4 linked regions of the Caenorhabditis elegans genome follow. The protein of the gene in region 3 interacts with the protein of the main gene of each other region in a pairwise test. Each region holds a gene or a part of one and is shown on either strand. Other genes may lie near its edges.

Region 1 (7,318 bases), on a different chromosome or scaffold from region 3:
CAAATATCTGTCGAGTATATGAGCGATGCTTACTGAAAAAAATAGAACCGTATCTTAGAGAAATCAATTTTTGGAATGAGAACCAGCATGGGTTCAGACCTACAAAATCAACGATCTCTAATCTGATGAATAGTTTGAATGACTGGACAAGCAACCTAGATCTGGGAGCCCAAATTGACGTCATATTTAGATTACAGCAAGGCATTTGACAGAATTCCCCACGACATTCTCCTCAATAAACTGATACGCCTGGGACTGAATAAACATATCATAGTCTGGATCAATAGTTTTCTAATAGAAAGGACATTTAGAGTTAAAATAGGAAATACACTATCTACTGTAAAAAACGCTAAATGTGGGGTTCCGCAAGGCGCTGTACTCTCACCAGTTCTTTTTGGAATTTACGTTAATGAGATCCCAACAATACTGCCCGCAAATGTTAAAGTGCAGCAGTTTGCAGATGACACCAAGCTGTATGTACACACGCCAAAAGGCGACCAGATTAATAGTCTGCAAGAAGCAATAGACAGAGTAGCAAATTGGTCCGTCAGTAACAAATTGGCTCTTAATGAACAAAAAAACCGTCCATCTCACGATAGGGAAAAAACGCCAAAATTTCACTTATAAGATAAACGGCCAGGATATCAAAAAAGAGTCAACGACACGTGACTTAGGTTTTATGATCTCTCATAATCTGGATTTTAGTGAACACTGGAAAAAGGCTATTAATTCCTCGAAATTTCAAATGTCACAAATTTTTAACCATTATAACAGTAACAAACCAAAGCTGATGATCCTATTATATAAAACATTTATTGTGCTTTTGCTAGAGTACGGAACCGTTATAAGTAGCCCACCAAAGCAGTCAGATATAGGAGCCATCGAGGCAGTTCAAAATTCGTTCACAAGGCGTCTATATAGTAGGACTGTAGGCAAATACGTCTCAATAAGTGATCCGGAATATAAAACCTCGACAGAAAGAAATGAATTATTTGGGCTCACACCGCTGCAAGGACGACGTCTGACAACCGATAAAAAAATGATTTTGAAAATGTTAAACGGTAAAATAGATCTGAAAGTACCTGAATTTTTTACCTTCTCGGACAACACTAGAACGCGTTGTAAAAGAAAGTTCTCTTGGAGCAGATGTAAATTTAAAATTAGGAAACATTTCTTCGTTAACAGAACATTAAGCCAACCGTCATTCCTCAAATTTTTATCTAATTTAAACAAGGATAACTAAGTTAGGAAACGAACGACATCTACTCTTGATCAATAACATTCATTCATTACTATCCTATGATATCTCCTGTTTTTTTATCCTACTCCTTCTCATGCTCTTTTTCTACGCCTCAGGTTCTTTCACTTTGCCCATAATCTCCCAGTCCACCCTCCGACATGAATCTTTGTATGTATCATCTTTTTTCTTTTCACGCTTCTTCAAGAACGTAATAAATTATTATTATTGTTATTATTAAATGACTACAAACATTCTGATTACATTTCCCTTTTTTTAAACATATCGCAGCATTTCTACGTTTAAATAATTCAATTAATTATTTTTAGCGTAACTGAGTATTTTAGTTTAACCACAAATTAAATCCCCTTTCAAATCGAACCCACAATTTTTCCAACCCAATTTGGATTTAGTCCGTGTGTTCGTGTGGGGTTCGCCAGTTGAACTGCTTCTCTAATTGCGATTATCGCCACCCGGCTTCAGAGTCCGTCCAAACTCGATTATAGCTTTCGCTCTCCACCGATCACTGAATTCGTTGCCGTTAAGTGTAGAAGCTCAGTTGAAGAATAAGAAGACGGAAAGAAGAAGCTGTCAAATAATCTAATTTACTTGACTCTCTCAAACCAATCCAAATCAAAAAGAAGGCGTGGCTACCTAGCTCTTCTGGCGGAAAGATGGGTACGGTGGTTGGGGCCGGTGGTGAAGGAGGAGGAGCAGCCGGAGGCGGACGGCGACCAGTCAGCTGCCCCTCTCTTCAGAAGCAACCCTGTCCGCCTCCACGACGACGTCGACAACGACTTCGGTCACCCCTCACTTTCCACATTTCTCCGCTTTCACTCACACAATGAGCGACAATCTGCTGAACGGTGCGAACGGAGCATCAACTGTCTCACAGGTAATTTGCTAACTAATTCTAGTCTCCGAGGCCCTCGACGCAAACGAAATAAACAGTAATACGATTTGGTGGCGCCGTCGGTCGTCGCCGAGAGCTCCATAATTAACTTTTCTGGCGCGCACAATATTCTTCGTCTCCTGAAGACGTTGTCGTTTTTCGGAAGACGACTGGGAGGAGTCCAAGTGTGTGTGTGTCTTCCCCTCATAAATTCATTATGGAAATTTGATTGTTAGATGCTCTCACGATCAGTGGCACACACACACACAAACCTCCTCAGTTGTCTTCCGGAGCTGGTATCGATAGCCTTCCAACTTTTCTCGCCTCCAATTTCCCTAGAATTATTGTTCAGCTCGCCATTTTAATTGATGTTAAAATCAAAATCACAGACTACCGTACCATGGACATCAATAATTTAATTCACAAGAAATAACTTTAGACATGGGTTTGAAAAAACTAAAAGTCCCACCACAAACACCGCTAAAGATCTGATCTTGGTGTGTTCAATCCTAAAGAAGCTAATGTTGGACGGGGTTCTAGATAATGATCATACAATACCTCGACACTGATGTCTGATTTTTTAGTCACAAAAAAGTTAAAAAACCAACTGTATTAGTTTATATTAGTTTGTAAGTGGAACCGAACATTTTGAAAAATAGATCTTAAGCCGGTAGAATCTCTGCTGAAAAACTGTTAAGTCACTGAATTTTTATTAGTCTTCTTGGCGTTATGTTTTACTTTAAAGTTCTAGTGTTACTGTGGATTTCCTTATTACCGTCCTTCCATTAATCGATTCCAACAGATTCCTCAATTCACCTTACATTAGTATAAAAACGTTCTACTGGAACCTACATCATGATCTATATTTTCAGTTCCAAGAAAAAGTGAAAGATCTTGGAGTATCTCTTCACGATTTCACTGCCTACTATCCGAGCTCTTTGGATACAGTCTCGGCAAGTCTTCGTCCAATTTCGGATCCATCATCAGGTTAGTCTCTACATTCCATCTTCTTTTTTTCTACACTGGTAGGGAGGAGCTTCGCTTTAGCAAGGCGAACAAAATTACATCAGAATATATCAGATTTGCGGAATCATATTTGATGTCTCTCCTTCGTCGTCCGCATGCCAGTTCATTCCTTGCATCAGTGCCTTCTAGGTTGAGCAAAAGGTCCTTCTGACCCTGAGCTTCTCTTATTATTTCGTTTGATATTCTCACCTATCCCAAGATTCAGCAAAAACCACTTCAAGTGTTTTCTTTATTAGTGTTGCGCAATAGCTTCCGCCAAAGGTATCATGCTGTGTTAGTACAACTGATACCCTTACCATGTCCCCCCGCCTTGCTCTTCCCCTCCTCAATGGTACTTCACATCTCTGGAGCATGTGCCACCGAGCCAATTATGACGCCTGTTGCCAGATGCTCACTCTTATCCATCCGTTCTATTGTATCCACTAGTCTTGACTTTGTGCGCGAAGTGTCTCTCTTCTTATTTACTATTTTAGTACTTGTGTGAGCAGATTTAGGAATTAACAACTCAATCTAACAATGTATTATTATGGTAAGACAATGTAGAGAAGGGTGTCATATTTCTTTGATTATTCCTTGCAATTCACACTAAGAATTTCGAAATTCTGCATTCCTCCGAACATCTGCCCACTTTCCATTTTTAAGCCTTAAAACTGGTGATGTTGCAGATGGCGCCTTCAAAAAGATTAAAACCGAAGGACTCGGTGGCTCGGTATTTGGATCTTCGATTGCTGGGGTCACGAACACGCCTGCAAGGTGAGTATTCTTAATATTTTGGAAGATAGGGGTACGGTAGATGTAGAAGGGATTTGATGTATGTAGGTATTCAATGTCAAAATAAGGCAGTTATCTAGATTTCATTTATTGAAACTACTCCAAAAACCCAGTTTTTTAAAAGTAAATTTGGCTATTTACCAAACCCTTGACAAAATATGTTTGCGTTTATTATTTTTTTGGCCACTATTTGGCCAAATTTAAAAATTTAGAAAGCCAAATATAATTATACAACTTGAAAGAGCCAAAATTTGACTTGTGCCGCCTATATTTTCATATCTTCAATTTCTATCAATAGTCAAGTTAATTTTCAACAAACTCTACCGTACTTCTCACGTATTTTCTTGCCTTCCCCCACCCACCTAGTGCTCCACGGCCTTTCTTAATTGCAGGCTGTGTAGCCTAGAACGGCCCGAATCAGAGCGTCTCAATTCCAGGCGGAGACATCGGACGACATTCACTCAGGAACAACTTCAGGAGCTTGATGCTGCATTCCAAAAGAGTCACTATCCGGATATCTACGTTCGAGAGGAATTGGCAAGGATCACCAAGTTGAATGAAGCTCGAATACAGGTGAGCTTCGAAATTAAACTGTATGCTCAATTTGTGAGACATGTGCTCTAATTTGTTGTTTCTTTCTCTTCTTCATATTCTTTATCTTCTTCCTCACTTCTTATTGGTATTCATCTCGCGTTAATTGCTGCCTTTGGATAGTTGTCTACCACCTCCTGGTCACCTACTGTGCGCTAAATCCACCACGCACCATCACACATCTGGTAGGGATTAGATATTGAGCTTGTGAAGCTGAGAAGAACAAATTGAGACAAAAAAGTCAATCTGCCATAATAGGGAACTTATACAACTTTTAAAATTAAAAATTAACATAGATGTACAGAAATAATATATAATTGATTAAAAACCATCTTGAAAAGTTTGATGAAGGAATTTCTTTGAAGTATCCGTTTGTAGAGAAAAGAATGCACACATATTTGGTAAACGACAATGTTCAGCCGGTAATAGTTTTTTGGATTGTTCAACTAAATTGAATATAATTTTCGAATTAATCTGATTTTTTTCTGCGTTTCGAGCTTTATTTCTTAGTGCTGAAAAGATGGGTTATCGTTCCTAAATTGACGGTTTTGTGGAATTACCAATAATGTTTTCAGCACATCTTTGACTTCAAATAAGCTTCTATTTTTTGGTGATTAAGCTTTCAGTTCTGACTGTTTTCTTTGCGATCTACTGATGTAAGTTATCTTTTGCTATTTATAAAGTTCTCTGAACTTTTTTCTATTTATAGAGTTCTCTGAACTTTCTAATAAAACAAATAAAACTTTGCCTAGATTCAATGATACATGCTTAAAACTTCTCACCCTTTCTGATTTTTTTCATTGTCTACCTACTTCCATATCCGTCATACGGTATCCTTTTTTTTTAAATATTCATAATAATAATAATAACAACTCAAAACTAGTGCCTTTGAATCTCTAAAACTCTTGTTCAAAAGAAACTCTCTATCACCAGTCTACCGTAACCCATCGTCTTCTTCTCTTCCAACATCGGCGTCTTTGTTAGGAGGCAAGCAAATTGAATTATGCTCTGCCTTTGCCGCTTTCTCAATATCCTTCCTCACCACAGCTTTTCCCTTATTCTTGAGCAGTCTATCAACATTTAGAAATACAGAAAAAGGAAATGAAGGGACTTGATAAAAAGAAAAGAGAGTGTAGCGAGGAACAGAAAAGGAAAGGAAGGATTAAAGATCCGGAGACAGTAATACTTTATGACGTGACTTTTAAAAACTTTCTTTGGTTGGATTGTGTGGGTATTAAGATACTTTTGAACTTTGTAGAATCTGAAATAAATACTCCAATTATTTGTTTACATACAATCTTGTAGAATTTGGTTGTCGTATATACCCAACAGTATACATTATTTTAATACTAAATTGCGTTTTTAATTAATTACTAAATTGCGCCAAAATCACATTTATTCATTTTTCCCTGATAATTTTAAATACAATGTTTAACGTAGAATTATAAATTTAAATACATTTCTGACTCCAATTCGTAAAATTAAAAAAACAATGACACACTAATGTATTACTAGATATCTTGTTTCTAGATGTAAGGATTTCAGGATTACTGTAGCGTATTCACACTTCCTTTACTTATTGCGTAACAGTTTTGCCACCTGGCTGTCTCTACTCCATCCCTCTAGATCTGACTTGATCATACTCATACTCCCCACTAATTTCTCGAGTAATCCAATTTTGTTTGCAGGTGTGGTTCCAAAATCGGCGAGCAAAACATCGGAAGCATGAAAAACAATTGAATAAGGTAGGAAGATGACGAATATATTCTGAATTCATCAAAAAAGTTATTTACAGGCAATCAATCCCCCGCACTCATTCCTATCCAATCCAGCGAATACTTTGATGCGACAAGGAATGTACCCAGCTGCATTGAATCGTGACGGTTTTTGGTATCAATCATATCAACGACCAATGCCATACCCAACAGCTTCTCCTTCATATTCCAACTCGTTCACTAATCCCATTGCAAAGTTTGTTCGTCTTTTTACTGTGGGATAAATATTTCGTTAATTTCAGTTTCGGTCATTCCATCACCTCTTTCCAAGCTGACGACGAGTTCTACCAGAAAAGTTTGGCACTTCGAATGACGACGACACCATCGGCCGCTACAGCTGCTACCTCACTTGCTAATATTAACTACCAGCAGACACAACCATCTGAAGCTAGTACCAACCCTCCTTCAATCTAGTCATTAACATTACAACCAGACATTTCTAATCTCCAAAGTTAACAGAAAATCCAATAATTTATGATTGCGTGTGAAATCAATTGAACAAATAATAAAGAGATCTCACTGATAGACTAATGTTGGTACGTACATTTACAAAAAGACAACGGTTTCCAATAAAAATGTTGAGAAATATCACAAAGGAGTGGGAAGTCTACGAAATGGAATGTTTAACGCGACTGATGATAAATACAATCTTACAAAACTTATCTGCCTTCTTCCTGTATTAAATATCCGGATCCTTTCCCGTTCCGCGTGTCACAAAATCACTTCTATTTGGTTTTGTCTTGTTAGAGAAATTTTGAGTAAACACCAAAAAAAAATGATTTTCGTATTTTATGTGGTTACCAGCCGCTGACCGCGCCTACGGCGCGGCCAACTCGTTCTCAGCACACTGCATTCAGTAGCGTACTCGTTCTCAGCACACTGCATTCAGTAGTTCTGGTATTGTTATCACAAAACATAATAAATAAAAATGACATGAACCGCCCATTTTAAAAGGAATTTTTTTGTTTCCATTAGGGAACAAGATAAATTCTTAATAGAATTTGGTGGCGGTGAATCGTTGTGGAC
Region 2 (7,343 bases), on a different chromosome or scaffold from region 3:
ATATTGTCAAAATTATCGAATATCGTTGTAACACGTTAAAAAAATTTCAAATTGATTGAGAGTCAAATAGGGACAACTTCTGAAGTTTTTGCCACTTTTTTGAAAAAACTATAGCACTGTCGCTTGTAAATCATAAGTAAATCATAAAATCCGATGGAAAAACGTTGTTTTTTATCGATGACTTCCGAACCAGTGGCAAAAACTTAATAATTACCTTTTATTGAAAGTATTTTTTAAAGTTTAATTAGTATATTTGGTCATTTTGGCATCATATGAATGATTTTAACAGTTTTCCCACTGCCGCTGCTTCACTTTCAAACAAAATCGGAGGATAATTGTTGAATTTTAAATGGAATTAAATCAAGTTTTGCAGAAAATTGCAAACGTTTTTCTTGAAAGTGTATTCTGATAATTTTCCTTGCACAAGTACTGACCTTTTTCATACAAAAAATAGTGGTTTTTAAAACAACTTTTTGTCGTTTAAAAATAATGAAAACGATTTGAAGTTAGTATGAATGAATAAAAGTTCGCAGGTGTAACAATTATTTGTTCTAACTCTAACTTTTTCATTAGGACACGATAACAAGTTGCCACGAAAATATTTTCATCATATCTTTTACAAAACAACCTTCTTCAAAATTTTGCAACCAATTCATTGCGTTGTTCTCGACGCAATTGAAAACCGATTCCATTAGAGTATCATTTAGACGAGAGTTACGCAACAAAACGATGAATTCACGAGTCTTGACTCGTTTTGCCTCAAGGTCTAGTCGATCGGTGTCGCGTGCCGCTGTCACCACTATAATAATCCATCAAATCTAACACCTTGCCGGCAACTGAACTTTCTTGCGGTCTGTCCTTCTTTGCAACAATTTTCTCACCTCATCTCCCTCACTTCATTGTATAAATGATTACAGATGAGGAGATATCATCGTTTATCGAAACACGCCTTTTCGCGCACTTTTAACTGACAAGCAGACGAAAAGTCAATAGTTTTGAATGACGGGGTACTGTAGCGGATGCGCTGTTTTCAAACCAGATTCCACTAAAAAACGTTACGAATGAGGGAATGTAGAATAGAAGTAGTGTTTTGTTTTTGAATATTACCGAACGATGAAAAACAGAAAACAGATCATGATTAATTTGACGATTGGCCTCAAAACTTTTAACTATTCATTTTTCTGGTTTTCCTACTTACCGCATTTCATTAAAACCAAAGATAGTTTGCAATTAGATCCTTATTTTATTTTCCCATGCAATACATTCACAGTGAAATTTTTCCCATTGACATTGGTGGGAACACGTGATGCCCCACTATGCTCCAAATTTGATATCGCCCACGCGTACAAATCCGAATAATTCCCAGATACAACCATGTTCCAAGTAGACAGGCATGCGTTCCCATGGCTGTCAATACGCCCATGATTCTCACGCATATGTATATAAAAACGTTGTACTAGAATCTCAAACTGCTGAAAATTTTCTGATTTTCAAGAGCATTATTTTTATGATCTGTTTTCAATTCTGACCACCAGTTGCATGACTTGACCGACTTTCCTACTTTTTTTGTAGTTTCTATTTACAACACCTATTTGAGAGCACTTGGAGCACAATACTGCAACACATGCTCTCCAATTTCCACCATATGTCGATTCCAGCCAACACTATACAAAAAGGTAATTTCTAGTTTTTTTTTAAATATTAGTCACCAATCGAGTATTAGAGAATATACGAGATGAGCTAATTATTACCTCGAGATGCGGTAGAGAAATGATTTATGAGTCTTCCGAATCAGTTGACCAAACGTTTCTGTCACCTCATTCTTGGCGTGTTTATTATATCACTGCAGTGTTGCATTGATTTTGAAACTGTAAACATTTTTAAACACATCTGCAACAAGATGATGTTGTGTACAATATTTTAATTAGTTCTAACTGAATTAACTTTTTTTAGAGGTGGAGTACCGAAATCTGACTATGCATTTTTAAACCTAAAATAACCCAAAACTACCAAATTTCGTAATGAGCCACTTTCAAAATTTCTCAAAAAAAAAGTTATGCCGGTTCAAAGTTCTGGAGAAAGACCCATTTTCAGCTAAAATCAAATTTTTTGCCACCTTTTCTGTGTCTCAACGTCTGGAACTTGATTTCTGTTTAATTATGACTCTTTAATAAAAATTGTGGTCTTTTATTAGGAATTTATTTTTTGATGTAAGTGCATTTTCGGCCGGTGTGGCACAAAAATGTAACTTCTATTTGTGCCCCACTAGCCGAAAATGTTCTTAAATCAACGAATAAACTCCCAATAAAACCCTCATTATTTTTTCTAGAACTTCGGACGTCATAACTTTTTTTTTGAGAAATTTTAAAAACGTCTCAAATTTGGTGGTTTTGGGTCATTCTGGGTCTAAAGAAGCAAAGTCTCAGATTTCGGTACTGCACCATCAATAGTTGTTTTTGTTTCATTTGGTTTATACATGTTTCTGTATATTTCAGACTCATTATTTAGAGCTTTATGCATTTTCAAATCACGAGTAAGCAAATATAAATGACTAAGTATATGATGCCTTTGTTTTTTTTAAACTCACTCATTTCAAAACGAAACAAATAAAAATAAATTTTTGGAGAAATAAACACGTTGATTTTTTTCAGTAATATTTCCTAAATTTCTGTGACAGGCCTTGAAAAATACAATAAAACTTTTATATGAACTTCAATTATTTATTGATACCCCTAGCCATTCAGAAAAAGTACACATTTAGTATTAATTATACAATTTTCAGTCTAATGACAAACCCGAAATCAAGTGTAACAGTTTTCAATTTCCATCGATAAATGTCTATTTGGCTGTCTGTGTGTCTATTTTTTCCATACTTCAACGAAAAAAACAAAATCACTGCCTCCAATATTTGTGTTTGTGACAGCCGACTCGCCCTTTCCTATTCACATCGTCGTCACTTCGCTCCGCCCATCTACCTCAGTTCTCACCAATCCGTGTGGTAGGCGTGGCCGTTACCACTAGAGACCACGCTCAACTAACTGGAAAAAACATTAGCTTACTCGACTGACTTCCTACTGTCTTGAGCTTAATATCTGGTGTCATCTTATCCATCTTTAAACTTTTTTGTATAGTTGTTTTCTTAGCAGTTACCTTTTCCTCACATGTTCTCTTTGGTTGCTTTTCTATTTATTTTAAAAACATTTACAGAACCTTATTTTCAGACAAAATGATGCATAGTGACTATTATACTCAGTCACAAGGTCCTACAGTAGAGCAGCAGCCAGAATGGCAAGCATCTGTCCAACCATATTCAGGTATGTAAATGAAAAATAAAGAAAACAATATACATTTATCTATATTACAGATCCACATGCTTACTCTCCGAGCTTCTACATGAACATGTCACAGGTGCCTCACTTTCTTCCAGCCCAAGTGGATCCCTTCATATATCCAAAGTAAGTAATTGTAGAGACTATCCCCAGTCAAATATTTGAAAATCAGTTTCAAATCATGCAACCCTTCCCCACTCCAGCTAGTATATAATTCAAGGCCAATCATCTTATTTCAGTACCCTCGGCAGTTACGGTGGTGACAAGCAAGTGCAATGTTTATGGGAGACCAATGGACAAGTGTGTATGCACGTATGTCAGAATTCAGGAGAATTGTCAACTCATATCAGTTCAAACCATATCACGCATGACAGCAAGTTTGTATGTCTTTGGAAAGGATGCGACCGAGAGTTCAAAATGTTTAAGGTATAGTTTTTCGGATAAACTCAATAAGATTAAACTCAAGTTTGGAACTTTAATATCAAGCCTTCTCTATTAGTCACCTACTTAGATGAAATACTATTAGAAAATGTAAAAATAATAATGATGTAAGTGGCTGTACTACAAATTTTGAGCAAGTTGTTTTTTTGGAATTTCCTATTCAGAATTGAATTTGTTTTTAGCTACAAAGTAACTTATTTCCCAACTATATGTAAGCATTGTTCAAGATGTATCCAACTTTTAGTAGAGGTGCAAACTAATGGAAGCGTCATCCTAATAGAGAAAATACAGGCTTCGAGTCATTCCAAATATGTCTTGCAAGTCCAACTGACCCGTGCTTCTGCACTAAACACTATCGTCTACCCTTGTTGCGTCATAAGTTTTAATTGTGTCCGATTTCTATTCTTGGGTGAACACGGTATTAAAATAGGTTCTTCCCCTGCAATTATGCTCATTTGCACCTTTGCGTAATCCTGAATAGAACTCAATACACGATATGCTTTTCTTGCAGGCCAAGTACAAACTGGTAAACCACATGCGAGTGCACACTGGAGAACGTCCGTTTTTATGCGATGTTTGCAACAAAGTGTTCGCAAGATCCGAGAATCTAAAAATCCACAAACGAATTCACTCAGGTATGTGTGATATTTAATACAAAATAACGAGAGAGTGGTTGTTGTTGTAGAAGGTGTAATAAGGGATTAGCATAGGTTAGGTATGCTCTTAATGAAATGATACATGCAATTCCAATGTCAAGTGTCAAACGCAGGTGATAGATATTCCTCTCATCACTGAGCAGCTCTTGAGTTGCCTTCCACACAAGCATTTGCTATTGAAAAAGCAATAATGATTCCGGGCAGTATGACCAGGCCCTTTTCATAATAGAACCCACACATTCATCATCATGAATTCCAAAGCAGGGAAAGGGGGTTATTCTTCGATCCGCAACTTTTGAGGATCGCAAGATTTACGATGTCAGTAACTCCTATTGTCAAGCAAATCTCGAAACGATCCTATTGCTTCGCTTTTGTGATAATCTCGCCTGTTTATTATTCACGTTCGTCGTTTACCGTAATCCGTTTATGGTGAGGGGGAGACACTGATCTCAATTGTTCCATTCTCGGGATAAGTAGAATGAAAAAAAAAATAGTAAAATCTTTGAGAAAGAAACACAATTTTCCTCAAAAAACATCTTCTAATACTTCTATAACGGATTTGTTTGACTTCCTGACACCACTAATTATGTGATGAAAACCTTTGAAAACAAGCCGATGATTATCCTTGTGATGATGCTCTAAGTTACATAATGTTTAGTCTAAAGATTTAGCTTCCGTCTTTTTGATCCAACCCGCCGCTTTCCACTTGTGAAAGATGGACAGTCCCAATGATGTAATAGTACATTTTGGATGGGAATATTAGCATTTCTGAATGTCAATGTTCAATTGCATAATTAAATTTGATTGAAATTTTGACTTGGAAAAGCCATTGATTTCTCAAAAATTACCATTTTGAGCAGGTGCAGCTGCTGCATTCATCTGATTTTTCATTTTTCATTTTTCATTATCCTAGTGCCGTAGCAAGAATATTCTAAGAATATTCGAATATGCGAATGCCTCAGCTGTCTCACGGGTTCTTGATTTATTGTATGAGTGCAGCTATCCTTTTGAACTTTAGCACCATATCTAGCACCTGCTAGTATTCCCAACAGAAAACTTATCTCTATAGTGAGACTGGAACAATTTGTAGCACCTGTACGAGTGTACTTCAGCAGCCATTATGATGTGAGTAATTTGTTATTTCAGGAGAGAAACCATTCCAATGCACACATAATGGATGCACAAAACTGTTCGCCAACTCTTCAGATCGCAAGAAGCATATGCATGTACATTCTAGTCACAAACCTTATAGTTGTATGGTAGGTCTAGATAAACCCCAGTTTGTTATTTAAAAAAACTGTTTTTTTCAGTACCCAGATTGTGGAAAAACGTACACGCATCCAAGCTCGTTGCGCAAACACACCAAGGTAAGTCGTGTGCCTATTGTCTCCGGTTTGAGAGGATTACATGAGATGAGGGAGAAAGATGGTATAGATGAGCAGGGTTCACACCTCTCATCGTGTCGATTTTTGGAGAGATGTAGTAAATCCTTGTCAAATTTAGGTACCCAAATTCTTGCTGAATCTTATGCGGTATGCAAGTGCTATATTCAATTTATCAAATTTTGATAATTGGGCTAAACTTCTCTTTTTTTAATTTGAAATACCATAAATGTTATTGACAAATGTTTAATTTATGCATTTTGAATTTTGGCCAACCTTCTTTTAGAACTATCAACATTTAGAAATTTTTCTTCGCTAATAATTTTTTGATACAAATTTTATCAGGGTATTTTCCCCATTTTTTCAGCTTGTTGCAAAAAAGTTTTTTAAAACAAGCTAGTTTTATCTCACATTTTCATTTTGTAGAATCTTAGCGGATTACTGTCTTTCCTCATTAATCTTATTATGAAAAAAAAAACAGTATGAAAATTTGATAATTTGTTTTGAAAAGAAACTAGTTCTTTTCCACATACACACTCTTAGTCACCGCGCCTAGCACTTCTTACCGAACCGTGCGCGAATTTGATTTGCATTTATGGCGTTTCAAATGAGACATTCCTTCATCCACCCATTCTATTCAAAGAGAAAAGTAGACAAAAAAAGAGATGAGATGATTTTACAGTACTCAATTCTCTAGATTCAAACTTGCCTGTTTATTTTATTAAATTGCAACCACATAAAAAACTAAAACAAAACGAAACATTCTAAAATTTCCAGGTTCATGAAAACGAAAAAAAGAGTCAATTGTCTCCGGAACATGACGAGAGTAGCGATTCGGGAAATGCGTCAATCGGAACACCAACCACCGACGAGAGCTTGACCTTCTCTCCTGAAAACATTAAACGGGATCAACATCTTCATACGATGCACACGTTTATGGATCGACCCAATCCTTTTATGCAAATGTATCAGAACCAGTTCTCCAATCCTACATACCATATGTTTATGGCAAAACCTGATTCCTACTGAGCACAAATATGCAGAAAATACAGTTTATAGCTTTATCGATTCCTTAACTTTTCTTTACTCATCACCCCAACCATGATCGTGTCGTGCAATTTCAGAGAACATCCCTCATATACCTCCCGTGATTTGAATTTTAATGTTCCTTTTTCTCCGAAGCCTCCTTCTAGCTCATTGTATCTATTTCCGGGTACACTGCTCATTTTGTTCAACATTTCTTGCTCTGCTTCAACATCCGCCTATTATCTTTTCAATAGGTACTGCTTTTGTTGAATTCTTTCTTGACACCTCCAATAAGCAAAACGACGTCGGTTTCTCTAATTGCTCCATTCTCTCTCGGATGTGCGTTTTCGTTTGAAAATTGTTGGCATGTTGCGGGATTGTCTTTTCTTTCACTTTCCAATGTGAACTGATATATATTGATGGGGTTAAACTTGAAAACTGACATATTTATATTTGCCTTCCCTACATTGCGTGGTATTTCATTCTGTATTATCACTTACGAACTTGTT
Region 3 (7,977 bases):
ATATGGAGTGAGTAGAACAGTTGATTTAATTTTAGAAATACTTTTTTTTAGAAATTAACGTTCTTGTTTGAAGGATTTAAATAGTGTTAAAAACATTTAAATGTTGAAAATTGAAATTATCTGCCAACACGAGCGAACTAAAAAAATTTTAAAGTGGAAAGAAAATATAGAGTAGATGAAACAGTTGATTTAATTTTTTTTGTTTCAAAATTTTCAGTTTCTCGAGTTGTTAATATAAAATTGATTTTTAAAGCTATTCCATATAACAAATCGTCGAGAAATAAGAATTTGAAAAAAAAAACAAATTTCGTACTGTTTCAAAACGTTTATAAATATCAGTTATATAATTTCAGCTTTAATTTCTATCTTCTTTCAGATGGAACATAATAAATTTTTAATAAAAATGTAGAATAATTTGTTTTTCTTCTAAAAATTAACATTAGGTGAGTTTTAAAAAAATCATTTCTTATTAGCTAAATATAACAATTTGATTGTTTAAAAAAATAAATTTGAAAATTGATAAACTTCTATTCACTTTATGTGATTCGTTTTCAAAACTAAATCATAAATAAAGTAGATTTAAAAAAAAAACAAAACGGAAGAGTTTGGAATTGGAATTCTCAAGAAAAATTGTATGTTTCAACTAGTTTTGAAAAACTAATGACTAATGGAAAAACACAATGATGTGCAGGTCGCTTATGAAGAAAAATATTTCATATTAACTTACTGGTATTTTGAATCACTTGAAAACTGTGAAAAGAATAAGTAACTCATAAAAATTTCAGACTCTTTATGTCTCATGGGGAACTTGCAAACACAAAGGAAACGAAAAAAAAATGCTAAAAACATATAGCTCACCCTCAAATCATCCAACATTTCAGTAATGTAGAAATTGTTTGGAGGCTGCAAAAGTCGAAAATTCTGTCGAGCAGGTTCTTCGCTGTCCTCATCGATAGTTGCTTGTCGTTTCTGAAAATATTACTCGGTTAGAGAACTGCATAAAATATGAAAGAGTCTGGTATTGAATTAAATGATAGCCACGAAACAGTAAACTTTTTTTTTTCAAAAAAAAGTACAATTTCGTCAAGTTAATGTAAATCATGTTCTAATTTAAAATGTGTTGCGAGTCTGGTCTCTTTTGTATTATTGAAAACTATAATTTAAAAAAAAATCGAAAAAAATAATCATTTTTTTTGGCAGAACAATGTATTTCTACAATTTCTTGAAATTTCAAAATTCATATCAAAACTGACCAATAATGCTCTTGGAGGAGGCAACCTATCAGTTTGTGTACTCATTTCCTTCTTCTTTTCAGCTTTCGCCTTTTCCAAACTCATTGCCGCCAGCTCGTCGACTTCTTTGAAAAATGGTTCAACTGTGAAACAGCCGAATAAGTCAGTGAGAAGTGGAATTTCTCCTTGATTTGAAAATGTTTGAGCAAATTGGAGATTTTCACTCATCGCATTTGCTAGTTCCTGCAAAAATTGGGGAACATGAATTTGGAGAAGTTATGAACTATAAAAGTAGTTTAGAATAAATTCGAATGAGGCAAGTAAATATGAATCCAAAAACAAACAGTTCAGATTTATAATAAATGAATATCAAACATTGTTGAAACGGTAGATTTTCAAAATTTTAACTTTTAAATGTGTGACTGTGTAGAAGCAAAGTTAAGATTTTAATACTTTAAAATTTCATTTTCTTTCTAGTTGAACATTTCCAAAAAAATTGTGAGTTAACCCTCTACAAATATTTTTCTCGTCGTCAAATCAGTAAAAGCCTATAACGTTTAAAGCGCCTTGAACAAATCACTCGAAACCCATTGTTGCTTATCATTACACGAAACGGAAAAAAAGTTTTACCATTTTTAAAAAAATCAATTTTTAAAATAAAACAACGTTTCAAATCCCTTAAAAACTCTGTTCAACGTCAAACAAATAAAACAAATATGAACTTACTGTAACAGTAGCCAATGAAAGAAGTATATGTCCGTAACATACATTCGGTGTCGGACTTAATCGAACCTCCTTAACAATTGAAAAAAGACAATCAGCAATTCGATTTCTCAGCTCAACAATCTTTTCAAACAAAGAATCCGATACATCTTTTGCCAGAGGATTCAGACAAATCATTGCATTCACGCAAACAATTTCCTCTTCTCTCATACCATATTCCCGATATACTGCTACAAGCTCATTTAGAGCACGTTCCACGAGTCCGTTGCCGAGGTGACTGAAATTTTGAAATGATTTTAAGAAATACAAAAGTAATGAATTCTTGAAAATGCTGACTAATATAATAGTTTACCGAAACGGAACGAGAATAAACATTTCAAGTTGAAAAATTGTTCACTGTTTCAAACTTATTTGAAAAGTGCATGATCTTTTTGAGGCTTTAATTACAAGAACATCGAACCAAATAAGTGAAAATTGTCTTCAAAATATAGACAAATCAAGTATTATTCTCAAATGGCATTATCAAAATATTTTATTATTTTTTGATTTCCCCGTTAATTTGCTGTCAAACTCACACAACGTGGCGTGGCGTCATAAGTCTTAAATAAGAGCAAAGAACATATGTACATATGAAAATTTAAAGTCGTGAAAGCATTTGTACAAGTAATATTCTCAATTGGCATTATCAATTAAACAAAAAAGAATTTTTTTAGAAATTCATTTCTAAAATGAAGAAATACCTAGAAAACAATTTAGTTGATTTTTAAAAAATTTCACTGTTACACTAACATTATTTTTGTGTTTGAAATTAGGAAAAAATGTTTCTCAAATTGTTGTAAGGTTTTGTGATTGCCTCGCTAATTTTCCGTCAAGCTCCTAAATTGGACACATATGTACTTTATAAACAAATATGAATAAGAAATGTTTACTGTTTCACATTGTTAGTGAATTCTAGCTAGCTATTCTATTTAATATTGAAACTTCTCATAAAGTCCAAGAAAATAATTCAAAAAAACTAAAACTCACTATGTGTCCTCATACATTTTTGATATATTCCGTGGAACATATGCAAAATTACAAAGGCATAGAACATTCTCATCCTGACAAGCTTCTGCTGTTCTCGCACAAAAATTGAAGACCATAAGTGGGGCGAATGAAGATTTGACCAGTGCTATCTGAGGGAATATTATTAATTAAGCGTGATTTTTAAGTTAAAATTGGGAATTTTTTTGAAAACAATTTGAAACCAATTTTTTTGTGCAAATGATGTTACACTAAAAATGAAAAAAAGCTGTGTGGCGTGTACTGCAGAAAACCTAATATTTAGGCCCCGCCTTCTTCTCGTCCACTCACGGAGAAAAGGCAAAAATTTGGACCCCAACCAATATCAGGCCGCCAACATCTCACAGGTTCCACGCGCAGCTATGTTTAACTCGCAGCGGGCGGAGACAGCTCACCACGCCCACAGCGAGTTAAACGCAGCGGCGCGCGGAACCCGTGAGATGTCGGCGGTATGATATTGGTTGGGGTCCCGAATTTCGCCTTTATCCCGTGAGTAGACGAAAAAAAGGCGGGGCCTAAATATTAGGTTGTCTGCAGTACACGCCACGCAGTTTTTTATTTTAAGTGTATTTGCAGTCAACATTAGAAAAATCCTGAAAAATAAAATTTTGGAATTTCGGAATTTTGGAATTTTTTTTTAAAGACTTTTGAAACAGTAACTATTGAAAAAAGGTGTTCTGTGTCAACTTCTCACCTTTTTTTCAGCGAAATCAAAGTTTTTCAAAGAGATTTAGTATCAGGCCAGAAAGTTGAAGAAAAACTAGCAATTATAATTAAATCCACTTTAAAACTAAATTTGAGGATAAAGCCATGTAGCAAGTAATGAATGGAGAGCGCTTTGTAGAAACAAACGTCAGTTAAATAAATAGGGTGAAGCAATATTTTTTTTTTATTTTTTTCAATTTTCTAAAACTTATTTTTTCTAAATTCCATTATTTTCTCACTTTGCAAAGAATATTTATTACCTTATCCTGAGGCGTTAGGTGTCCCAACAGTGGTGACAGCGATTCAACCCAATCAATTGCAGCAATCAACCTCCGATAGGCAATTGCACATAACTCATCATTTCCAGCCATTCTGTATGCTTCATATCTCATTTCTGTTCGTTTTCCTTTTAATTGAATCGGTGTTTCAATGATATCACTGAGCTTATCAATTCCTTTCAGCGGGTACAGTTTTGATGCTTCTTGTTGTGTATCTCCTTTCATTACCTGTAATTAATAGAAATTGTGTCAGCAGCCGACGATAACCGAGGCCCCCGCGCGAAATACCTACTTTTGTCTCAATATTCAACAGTGTCATTAATATTGTTCTCATCTCAACCGTCATCTTTTTCATCCACTCCTCGCGGCTTTTTGTGGTCCTACCACGATCAGTTTGATCGCACGTGGCTACTGTAGTTGTCGGCTTACGTGGCTTTGGAGGTGCGTCTCGGTTTGGGCGGACATCTGAGATATCATATTAAATTTGAAGGATGAGTACCGTTAAAACAAAAGCTGAAACATTTATGGGAAACTTGAAACTGAAAATTTTTGAAATAATTTTTGTCTTAAAAAGGGGAGTTCAATAGTATTTAATACATTCGAAACTGCTATATTGTTCCAAATATGTTTAACTGCTTTACTGCATAATTTTTTTTTGTTTTTGCTATATTATAAACGGAAAAATTAAATATTGAATTGATATCAAAACACAAAACGTATAAAGTCTGGAAAATCAAAAATTGAAAAAAAAAACTACTGTTTCAAGAATAAAATTTACTTTCAGGTATTAACTGAAAACGATTTATTTTTATGTATATTCGAACTTATGTCACGATTTAAAAATCGTATAGAAATAAATAAAAAATTCCAAAAATTTTGGATTGAAAATAAAACTCACAAGCAGGATTCATTCCTTCGCGTAGGCACTTATTGAATCTACAGCTTCTGCATTGGGTTTTCTCTGAAAGAAAAAACACAATAAATTGACTTTGGTAAAGGAAAAACTGTTTCAAGCGCGCAATTGCATAGGTTTTATGATTAAAATTATTTAACGAATTTATAATTTTTACTGTTTCAACACTAAAATATACATTTTGACTCAAACAGAATGTCAATATGACTTTGATAGCTTTCAAAAAGTAAAAAAAAGTAAAAAACTGCGCAATTCCCAATGTCAAACTCACGCAAAACACTAACTGTACACTCTCCATTTGCAGCACATTCCAGTTGATCAGCCTTCAGAAGAGCCCGACGGAAGAAGCCTTTACATCCGACACAGCTCAGTGCTCCGTAGTGAAGAGCAGCTTTTTCGGCTCCGCATACCTGAAATGTAATTGATGTGCCCCATAATTTTTTTACTTTAATTTACGGGAATTTGCAACTTGTAGCAACGAAGATTCAGGATAAGTTTTGTATTTAAATCTTTGTCAACTTAATTTAAAATTTATAAAGCTCTGTTTCACCTTCTCCAGGAATGGCAATTGCTTTAGACAATAATATTAATTTATTGAAAAAAACTTTCCCGTCCTAACTACATATACGAAAACTCACGTGATTTTTCAAAATATGTGCCCCTTTGTGAGTGGTTCAATGATGCAAACAGACTCTAAATTCCGTAATCCGATAAAACAAAAATTGGTCACAGAACATTTTAGTGAGGAACTTTTAAAAGTGTGGAAACTTTTTTTATAGGAAAAAAATTACTGTTTCAAAAAGTTTAGAACAATTTTAGAAATTTTTGTGCAATACTAGTCTAACTTTGCAAAGATTTGAAACTAACTTTGCAAAGATTTGTGGACGAGCTGCTGCCCAAATTGCTGTCCTCGGTTTCTTCGTCAGAATCTGAAAATTTTAAAGTTTAAAAATTTTTGGTCAAACAGGGAATCATACCATTCAAAGTAATCACATTGCTACTCCCAGAATTTCTATTCACATTTGAACTGTTACCGCCAGAAGACATAATTGATGTCAAATTAAATTGAAAGACTTTGCAATGAGATTGATTATCTGAAATTGAAAAAAAAATGATTAGATGAAAAGAAAATTGAAGAGAAGATTCAAAAAATCGAAAATTTAAAAATTCCACTGTTTCAATGAGAGTGTGAATTAATGCCTGTCTTGTTATAAAATTGCTATATCTGGTTTTTTTGGTATCTCAAATGATAAGCTGGAATCAATTAAGAAATTACAAAAAATTCTTTGAAAGTAGATTTTCGAAAAAAAAAAAGGATAATTATGGGAAAAATAGAATAATTAACAACAAATATTACAGAAGAAATAAAATTTGTATTCAAAAAGTGTCATTACTGTTTCAAAAAATCAATAATTTCTCCGATTTTATATTACTGACAATAGGGGGTGTTCACCAAAATTTTAATTATTCTAAATCATTTTCAAAATTAGAAATCAAACCAAAATCAAAAAGTCTTATTTTTGAAACGATGAAAAATGCAATGCTATTCCAGAAAAGTTTTATATACACTTTTAAGAAATTTTTGGTAAGTTTGAATATGACACAATTATTGATTCCAAAAAATTATATTAAAATTTGAGAACATTCAGAAAAAGTAGAAAATTGTGAATTTTAACAATCAATTTTTTTTGAAATTAACTGAACATTTGGGATATTCAAAATACATAACTTTTTATTAAAAATAAAAATTTGAAAACTCTTGAAAACCACCATTTTCTACCGTTTCTAAAATCTCTTCTGCACCAAAAAAAAATTCGGTAAAAAATTATCGAATTTTATTTTTTCGAAACAGAAAAAATAGAAGAAGCTATTCCAAAATTCAAAGCTTTTGCGTATAAATTTCACATTGAAGCAACTTTGTAATAACGAGAAACTTAACTTCAAAATATAAGAACATTCAGAAAAAGTAGACATTTTTGAATTATAAATTATAAACGCTTTAAATTAGTTTTATGTAATTTTTTTTTGAAAATTTGCTGTTTCAGTAATTATTAAAATGGTGATGCTTATTTGTTAAATTGTTTTTACTAGCAAATGCTATGAGATTTTGGAATATCAAATTTTCTAGACCGTTTTCTGAAGTTCATTAAAGTTAATATTTCTAACAACCTCCTGATTTTTACCAAAAACCCTTAATAAATCTGCTAGCAAAAAAAATAAATGTTTTCGTTAATTTTATTACAGTTTCAAAATTATGGGATCTGGAAAAATTGTAAGCAGCAGTATTCGTCTTGTTGATTACCTAAGTTGAATTCTCGAAATATAGAAAAAAAACATTATTGCGCGGAAACACAAAAATTCCTTCCAAAAAAGTGAATTATCAGTAACCCAGAAGAGAGAAATCAATACAAAAAAGAATCAGGCCCCCTCTACCGACAAACAAGTCGCCGTCAAGTACGGTCATGTGTCTCTTTTTCTCTCTCTCTGATCAGAAGACTAGATTTTCTGATTCTCTTCAGTCCAGCACACTATCTCATGGAATAAATATCTTCTATCTTTGAACTGTGCGGTTGGAAGTATTTAGTGGAGAGAGAGAGAGAGAGAGAGAGAGAGAGAGAGAGAGAGAGAGAGAGAGAGAGAAAAGTGATGGGAAGTTGAAACTTGACCAATACGACGATTTTTTCAAATTAAGCGGGCTTCTTGCGTTGAACGATCAAAGTTTGGAGGTGATTGATTATTTGGATCGATTTGGCCTTCGCAATATATCAGAAATCGTTTTTATCACGAGAAAATTTTTAATTTCAGTAAAATGGAAATTGTAAGTAAAACGATACGAATGGGATTAAAGGAACACTGAACATTTTATGGAGGTTGTGAAACAATATTCTTTTTTTTTGTTGCAATTTTTAAAATATTCTACCGTAAGTCCTAAAGTCCTAAAGGGAAAACTTGGATCAATTTTTTGAAATATTATTAAAGACATTTTTGCGGCTTTAACACAAATTGACAAGATTATTACCGTTGAAAAGTAACAGGGTTTATGAGAATGTTGAAGCAATATTTG
Region 4 (6,631 bases), on a different chromosome or scaffold from region 3:
TAAATATCATAATACAAACTTTTAGAAACGTTTTGGACATTTTTTTTTATTTCGAGTCAAAACTTTTGAAATTGAAATGTAGACTCCAATTTTTTACGCTTTATGGTGTACTGTAGTTCCTAGATCCACATTGTTTCAAAATTTTCTTGGATTTTATGTTGCCACAACATTTTTGCACCTTTCATTATTCTTAAGTTCAGATTTTCCAAAAAAGGTGCGAAGAAACGAAAAAAAAACTATAAAAAATGAAGAAAACCAATGCAGCAAAGAGCTAGAAACTACAGTAATCTTCAGACACTTATTTGTATTTTGAAAAACGTTCATTAATTTTTTTAAAAATAAATTTAGTAAAGTTCTAATTAATTTTTACTTTTTAAAGGAAGAAGGTTGTTTCGAATCAACTTTTTTCGTGATTTTTTTTTGTAAATTTCCTTTCTATTGCTACAAAATTTTTTCTTCGGTATTATTCGATGTGTTTGAAAATGAAGACCGTCGAGAGTGATAAATTTAAAATGTATAATTCTTTCTTTTTAAAATTACCAGAAGAGGTAGAGACAATGTACATTTAATACATGAGAAATTGAGCAAACTGTAATATAAAGGTAACCCGAACATATAAACGAGGGCTGTTTCTGTGGTGGCTGCTAGTGGGAAAAAAACCCGTGATTGAATCTAAATGATTAGAATCCTGGATAAAAAGTTATGGCAACATGAAAGGGACTGAGATATTTCAAAAAATCTAAACAAATCTACGCAGAAAAATCGTATGTTAAAAACAATAAACATGATTCTATAATGAGCAGTTCAAAATGGATTTTTGAGTTGTTGCATGACATAATCGGGAAGAGTGTCCGGCTCGGCGAGAATGCTCGAGTTGGTTGCAAGAGAGACCTGAAATTTATAAATTGATTATTAATGAGTATCTATATTATATTTACCAAAAGTGTACTCGCAAGCGGCCGAAGTTCTGTGGCTTTCCAATTTTTGTTCAGCCAATCAGAACACGAGGCGGCTACTTCATTTCTTGACGACGAGTCTCCTGCTACAGACGATGCGAAAGAGTTTGTTTGTGTGACACAGATTGGTTTCAGCATTTGGGACATCTATTATGAAGTTGTATTAATTTGTCTCAATAGTAATTCAAAATTTTTGCGGTTGCTTTGTCAAAAATACGGGCCTCGACGTGATAAATTCTTTTTTAGTGCCAAAAGGATGTGCACCTTGGTGGAGAAATATTTCGATTTTTCAGCAATAGATTTTAAAAAAATTTCAACTTTTCTGCTAGATAACTTACCACCCAAAATCTCCAATTCTTTTTCGCGCCTTCTTTGACATATCTATCGAAAAATGTTTCCAGTGAAGTTTTCGAGTCCACCTGTGATGAACTGGATGGTGCACTCGATTGGGGAAGATTTGATTGTAAGGATCTGAATTGATACAGTTTTAAAATATTTCAACAAAAAACTATCTTACGTTATTTTCTGATTCAGTTTTTCGATTTTCGCTTTGGCCTCGTCGATCTTCTGTGTTTTATCCCATTTTTCGGCCTGCAATCTTCGAATATGATCCGCTGACTTGGCTAGAACGACAGCATTCGTTGGCTTAACACCGCCAGAATACAAATCGGGTATCTGGAAAAAAAATAAAATTTTGAATTGGAGATTTCATGAGAAAAACCAAAACTTACAATATCCATAAGCTGGTCGAATCCATCTTTCAGTGCACTTCTTCGGTTTTGCTCAGCGTGTAAATGCAATATTCTTTTGCGTTCTTCTGGGTGCAATGTGGAATCTGGAGCTTGTCGTCGCATTGATTTGACACTTGATGGTGCACTCATCAACAGTGGTTCTTCTTTTGTTACTTCCTTCAATTCGGTGGGTGTGGTTGGTAAGTCTGAAATTTACTTAATTTAAACTCAGTTGGAGATAACATAACTTTGGTGAAGAAACATTAAAAAATATGCTTACAATGCCTTCCGGATTTCTCCTCGACCTTCACAGCCATTTTTCCATTGAGTAGATTGACATCACAAGACTGCTGCCTGTTCACTAATGGCGCCATCGCTGCTTCTTGCTCTTTTCGTTTTGACGACGCCGACGGTGGTGTGATGATCTTCGGTGGATGCTGTGAAGCTTGTACTGGAACTGACGCGGGACCACTAATATCTCCAGATGTTGAAGGACTTTCTAATATTGACGGCTTCGTGGTAACCGACGCAGCAAAAGCTTGATAAGTAGGCGATCCTTCTACTATATGACTCATTTTCCATGATTCATTGAGAGATGATGTGCGTAAGCGAGAAAGGCTAGAAATATCCAGAGGAGATGGTGTTGGTGTATTCTGTGATGTTAATGAAGTGAATATTCTTTCAGGTTTATTCTCGACATTTCCAAAAATTGTTGAAGTTCGACTAATTGGAGGTTGTTCTAATCTTTGTGATAAAGTTGGAACACCACTGGTAGTCCCACTCATTTTAAATCCACCCGGTGTATTATTTCCACCGAATAAAAAACCGTTGTCCGCACTCCCAATAAGCTGACCCAATGGAGTCTGCGGTCCCGTTTGATTGGCAAGAGGCAATGGTGTTGCTACTGATAATGGTGATTGAACACTTGCAGTCAACGGACTATCCAGCCACCATGATCTCGATGGAGCCATCATTGGATCATGAGATTGGGGTTGTGGAGTAGGTTGAGTGGATTGAAGAAATTGAGGAAGATATGGATCATTTTGAGTCGGCAGCAAATTAGATCTGGATGGAGGCGGAACAAGTGGTGGTTGATTATTCAGAATTCGTTCGACGTGGGATTGATGTGGTAGGGAAACCTGAAGTTATTGAATTTCGAGAAACTGTCTAAATGTTCATGCATTTTTCAAACTAACCAAGAAGTTACTTTGTTGTTGCTTATTCCAAGGTGAATGCTGACTCGTATGGCCCAAATGATGTTGGTTTGTCATTGTATTTCGAATTGGGAGAAATGAGTTATTCGTGCTATAGTGTGTTGATGTGGCATACTGTGGTTGTGAAGACAATGTCGATGCGGATTGACTGAGCATAAGCATTTGTGAAGTAATTGCAGATGATTGTCGTGTCGGCATTAATCGATAGTCCATCATAATCGACGAAGCCATAAACTCATGTGGACGAGCCGCAACAGGTTGTTGAATTTGAATTTGATGTTGCAGTTGTTGAGATGGTTGAGATATTTGAGATATGGATTGAGCCTGAGCCTGAGCAACTTGCATTTGATGCAAAGACGCCGAAGATGAAGCAGATCTTCTCATTTGAGGAATTTGTTGTGCTGATATTGATGGCTGATCATTCGTCGGAGTTCTCATTGTGTCCCGATCATTGTGGAATGGCGGAGAATCTGGCATATCGTCGCCTAATGACATCATGATATCCTCGATTGTTGGCTGTAGTGGGAGGAGTCCTGGCTGCATGATATCAGCGTTATTTCCACTATCTGAAACAAGTTTTTGACGATTAGACATATAAAGCATGAAGTATTTATAAAGATTAATAGATTTACTGAAAATATTTTAACACATATTTTGTTCCATCAAATGAAATAGTTTCTAAACTGCTACAAAATTCAAATAAAACTAACATAATATGTTTAGTTTCTTTCATAATCAAAAGTTAAAAATAAAATAAAAAACTCACAAACATCTCTTGGATCCGGAAACATGTAAGGTTCACTCAGAGAATTTAGAAAATCATCAGTGAAAACATTATCCAAGTCATCAAAATCCCATGCAAATTCATCAGAAATCGTGTGTTTTGGCGTCTGACTTCTTTGAAGTTTTACAGGTGGCTCATAGCTTCGCAACTTGCTTTCAATTGTTTCTTTTGGAACGGTGTGTTTCTTTAAAAAAATGTCTTCGATATTTATTAAAATTTTGTTTCTAATTTTTTGTTTCGATTTCGTCTGTTTTCGGATGTTTCTTGTCGCTTTTTCCTTTTTTCATTTAAATATTTCGAAGTTTAAATTAATTTTTCAAATATAAAAAAAAGAAATTACAGAAAATAGAAGATTATTGTGTGGAATTTCTTCAAAGTGGAACTAATTTTTTATAAAATGCAGTGATTTTTTTTTTGAAAAAATGAACACGAAAAAATTGTTTTTTTTTCGATTGTATAAAACCAAATATCTGCCGACGCTACTAGAAACAGACGATTATGCAGCAACAAGAGTTTGAAATTACAGTACTCTTTGAAGGCACACACCTTAATGTATTAAACAAGAATTTGTCGTGTCGAGACCATGTACCGTAGTTTTGACGCAAAACTCGAAAGGTTTCGCGTCTGGGTAATCTTCCACTTTCATTTGGTGTATAAAAAAGCTTCGAGAAAAATCATACCCTTTTCCGTTTCAATTCTCCCGTCATACTGCTGACGCTTGTCGAAGAGCACGTCGCCACCATTCCTCCCTTATCCGTGACCAAATTATGTTTCGAACGAATTCTCCATCGTTTATATTGTGCACACACACCTTCCATTTTTCTTTTCCAATACATTCCTTCGACAATCGATCCCTCGATTTTTTGATGTGTTGTGTCATCGTCGGGTACGGCAAAGTAGCAGAATGGTTTTTTCGGCTTTTCTGGCTGCTTTTTTCGAACTGTAAGACAAGATTTTGAACAATAGCTGATAAAATTAAAGAGGGAACTTACATTCAATATAATATGCTCTCCAAATAACATTATTCAATCGTACCCTCTGCTTCCAATGAAGACGTAATCCTTTGAAATCCTTCCATTTTGGAGTTGTCATTTTGCTACAAACTAACAATGCCATCAATTTTTATTGAAGATAAACTTACTTATAAGCAACTTTGATACATTTGTTCAACTTATTCAGTGATACATCAATCGCGATCGACTGTGTTTTACCAACTCCAAACTTGTAAAACGTCACCGGTTTCTCGTCGAGAGCCTTATTTTTATGATGAACTGATGATGATGCTTCCATTGATTTATCATCATCTTCAACTACATCCACTTCAACATCTTCTTCATCTTCATCTTGTACTAGATCGTCGTGGGGATTCGAACACATAAAGTGCCCACTGTGTATAATCTGCCCGCGCGACATTTTTGTCTGAAAATATTGAAATCTTTTGAAAAGTAGAAACAGTGAAATGAAGAATTATAGAGGATGAAAGTAAATTTACTAGGTAACAATGTACAATTGATTATTTGGAATTACAATTCATCCAATCACGAACAAAAATCCCATATTGCCAAATTTTCAGAATTATGTGCTTCAAGGTGTGAGCTCAACTAAAATCTACACATTTTCGTAAACTTTGCAAAAACTTATAGCTTGGCCCTGAGGAACTTTTTTAGGAAAAAAGGAAGTGGAGAAATGTGGGAAAATTGTGTGTGAGAGCGATGACAATAAGCAAGGAAGAAACGACGAAGGACGGACGGACGGGGAGAGCGATGGAGGATCAGTTGTTACAACACGTGACCGACTAAAAGAGTGTCTAGGTCTCTTGTTGTTGAATTATTTTTTTTGTGCATTGTTTTGGAAAACCGCTGCAAAAGGCGTTAAAGATAGGTTCACTATTTATGGAATTGCAAAATTTTATTTAAGATATTAGAAAGCTATTTCAGAAGTTTTTTTTACAGGTGCGAAAATTAAAACAGATAGGGTGCATTTCATTAAGTCGAGTTTATTTATTTATTTATTTTAAATATGGAAAAATATTTTTGAAACTTGTCCCCGCAAAAAGTTTTGACACTGGTCAGTTCAGTTAAACAAAATTATGCGTTTTGGCAAAACTACTTAGAGTACGATAATCCGATTTGAATTCAACTTTGTACGACCTAGATAGTATTGAACAGTTTGTGGGTGTGACAGGGACAAAAGTCAATCGATACAGGGTTTCAGAGAACCAACATCGGAGAGGATGGGGGACGAAAAAGATAGGAAAAATCATATATCGAATCGTCGACCAGCGACAGTCACAACGATATACAGTGTTGGTGTGAAATAGGGGGAGAAAACGAGACATATTTGTGAAAAGAAAACGACGAAACGGAGGGAGAATGGATGGAAGAATACGATTGATAACACAAACAGAATGGCCATTATCTGATAATAATGATAACAAGCAGCGGGGGTCGCTCCCGGGAGGACGTATATTTTCACAGATTTCATGACTATTTTGTTTTACATCAAAACAATTATAGTTTCAGTTTGCAATTTTTCTCAACAAAAATAGACAGTAGGTTGTATTAATAAGAACCATGATTCTCTCAACTACGTAAAACTATCTTGATTCGCACCTGCACAACCAGTACATTATATCGTACGCGCATTATATACCGTACCTGGCAGGCAATCAGACAATTTTGACAATTCGATAATATATCCGAAATAATTGGAATATTTTATAGAAACAACTCAAAAAAAGAACAAAAAACTAATTTCTAATGTAGCAAATGTTTTTTTGGTAAAAAAATATTACGTTCGGCACTTGCCGAATTTCCGGAACCTAGTCATATTAACAAACAGAAAATCATAATTCAGAAGTAAAAAGAAAATTAGAAAAGGGTTCTGAAACTTAGAAATAAATAAACGTTAACCTATGCCCCTAATATGTTAGAGTTGTGCGTGTGT

Evidence for each region.
Region 1: the proteins of nhr-5 (region 3) and unc-42 interact in a two-hybrid assay, tested with the Caenorhabditis elegans proteins (one large-scale study listed by BioGRID).
Region 2: the proteins of nhr-5 (region 3) and ref-2 interact in a two-hybrid assay, tested with the Caenorhabditis elegans proteins (one large-scale study listed by BioGRID).
Region 4: the proteins of nhr-5 (region 3) and mml-1 interact in a two-hybrid assay, tested with the Caenorhabditis elegans proteins (one large-scale study listed by BioGRID).

The regions. Positions count from the first base shown.
Region 1 is NC_003283.11:9,764,033-9,771,350, reverse strand, and holds unc-42 (Homeobox protein unc-42), read left to right. Parts: upstream 1-1,994; 5' UTR 1,995-2,081; coding exon 2,082-2,132; intron 2,133-2,185; exon of another isoform or gene 2,186-2,323; intron 2,324-3,001; coding exon 3,002-3,116; intron 3,117-3,598; exon of another isoform or gene 3,599-3,671; coding exon of another isoform or gene 3,672-3,684; intron 3,685-3,820; coding exon 3,821-3,908; intron 3,909-4,318; coding exon 4,319-4,499; intron 4,500-6,205; coding exon 6,206-6,262; intron 6,263-6,312; coding exon 6,313-6,488; intron 6,489-6,534; coding exon 6,535-6,706; 3' UTR 6,707-6,817; downstream 6,818-7,318. UniProt on the Caenorhabditis elegans protein: Probable transcription factor. Required for initial outgrowth and pathfinding of axon growth cones along the ventral nerve cord (VNC).
Region 2 is NC_003284.9:7,742,594-7,749,936, forward strand, and holds ref-2 (Zinc finger transcription factor ref-2), read left to right. Parts: upstream 1-1,645; coding exon 1,646-1,676; intron 1,677-3,221; coding exon 3,222-3,314; intron 3,315-3,364; coding exon 3,365-3,455; intron 3,456-3,568; coding exon 3,569-3,755; intron 3,756-4,281; coding exon 4,282-4,405; intron 4,406-4,433; exon of another isoform or gene 4,434-4,826; intron 4,827-5,572; coding exon 5,573-5,685; intron 5,686-5,736; coding exon 5,737-5,793; intron 5,794-6,585; coding exon 6,586-6,837; downstream 6,838-7,343. UniProt on the Caenorhabditis elegans protein: Transcription factor. Modulates expression of target genes by binding to regulatory elements. Required for normal cell division timing and cell positioning in anterior lineages, acting in a cell-autonomous manner.
Region 3 is NC_003282.8:15,398,316-15,406,292, reverse strand, and holds the start of nhr-5 (Nuclear hormone receptor family member nhr-5), read right to left. Parts: upstream 6,017-7,977; 5' UTR 5,961-6,016; coding exon 5,891-5,960; intron 5,843-5,890; coding exon 5,781-5,842; intron 5,771-5,780; exon of another isoform or gene 5,750-5,770; intron 5,522-5,749; exon of another isoform or gene 5,501-5,521; intron 5,324-5,500; coding exon 5,185-5,323; intron 5,137-5,184; exon of another isoform or gene 5,116-5,136; intron 5,006-5,115; exon of another isoform or gene 4,985-5,005; intron 4,962-4,984; coding exon 4,899-4,961; intron 4,824-4,898; exon of another isoform or gene 4,803-4,823; intron 4,722-4,802; exon of another isoform or gene 4,701-4,721; intron 4,496-4,700; exon of another isoform or gene 4,475-4,495; intron 4,466-4,474; coding exon 4,293-4,465; intron 4,229-4,292; coding exon 3,983-4,228; intron 3,851-3,982; exon of another isoform or gene 3,830-3,850; intron 3,131-3,829; coding exon 2,982-3,130; intron 2,952-2,981; exon of another isoform or gene 2,930-2,951; intron 2,799-2,929; exon of another isoform or gene 2,777-2,798; intron 2,420-2,776; exon of another isoform or gene 2,395-2,419; intron 2,270-2,394; exon of another isoform or gene 2,249-2,269; intron 2,233-2,248; and 18 more. UniProt on the Caenorhabditis elegans protein: Orphan nuclear receptor.
Region 4 is NC_003281.10:7,369,628-7,376,258, forward strand, and holds mml-1 (Protein WBSCR14 homolog), read right to left. Parts: upstream 5,105-6,631; 5' UTR 5,099-5,104; coding exon 4,827-5,098; intron 4,782-4,826; coding exon 4,678-4,781; exon of another isoform or gene 4,626-4,677; coding exon 4,366-4,625; intron 3,870-4,365; coding exon 3,668-3,869; intron 3,468-3,667; coding exon 2,884-3,467; intron 2,827-2,883; coding exon 1,968-2,826; intron 1,894-1,967; coding exon 1,688-1,893; intron 1,632-1,687; coding exon 1,474-1,631; intron 1,428-1,473; coding exon 1,295-1,427; coding exon of another isoform or gene 1,259-1,294; exon of another isoform or gene 1,104-1,258; coding exon 939-1,103; exon of another isoform or gene 892-938; coding exon 805-891; 3' UTR 504-804; downstream 1-503. UniProt on the Caenorhabditis elegans protein: Transcription factor that binds to the E box motif 5'-CACGTG-3', probably in a heterodimeric complex with mxl-2.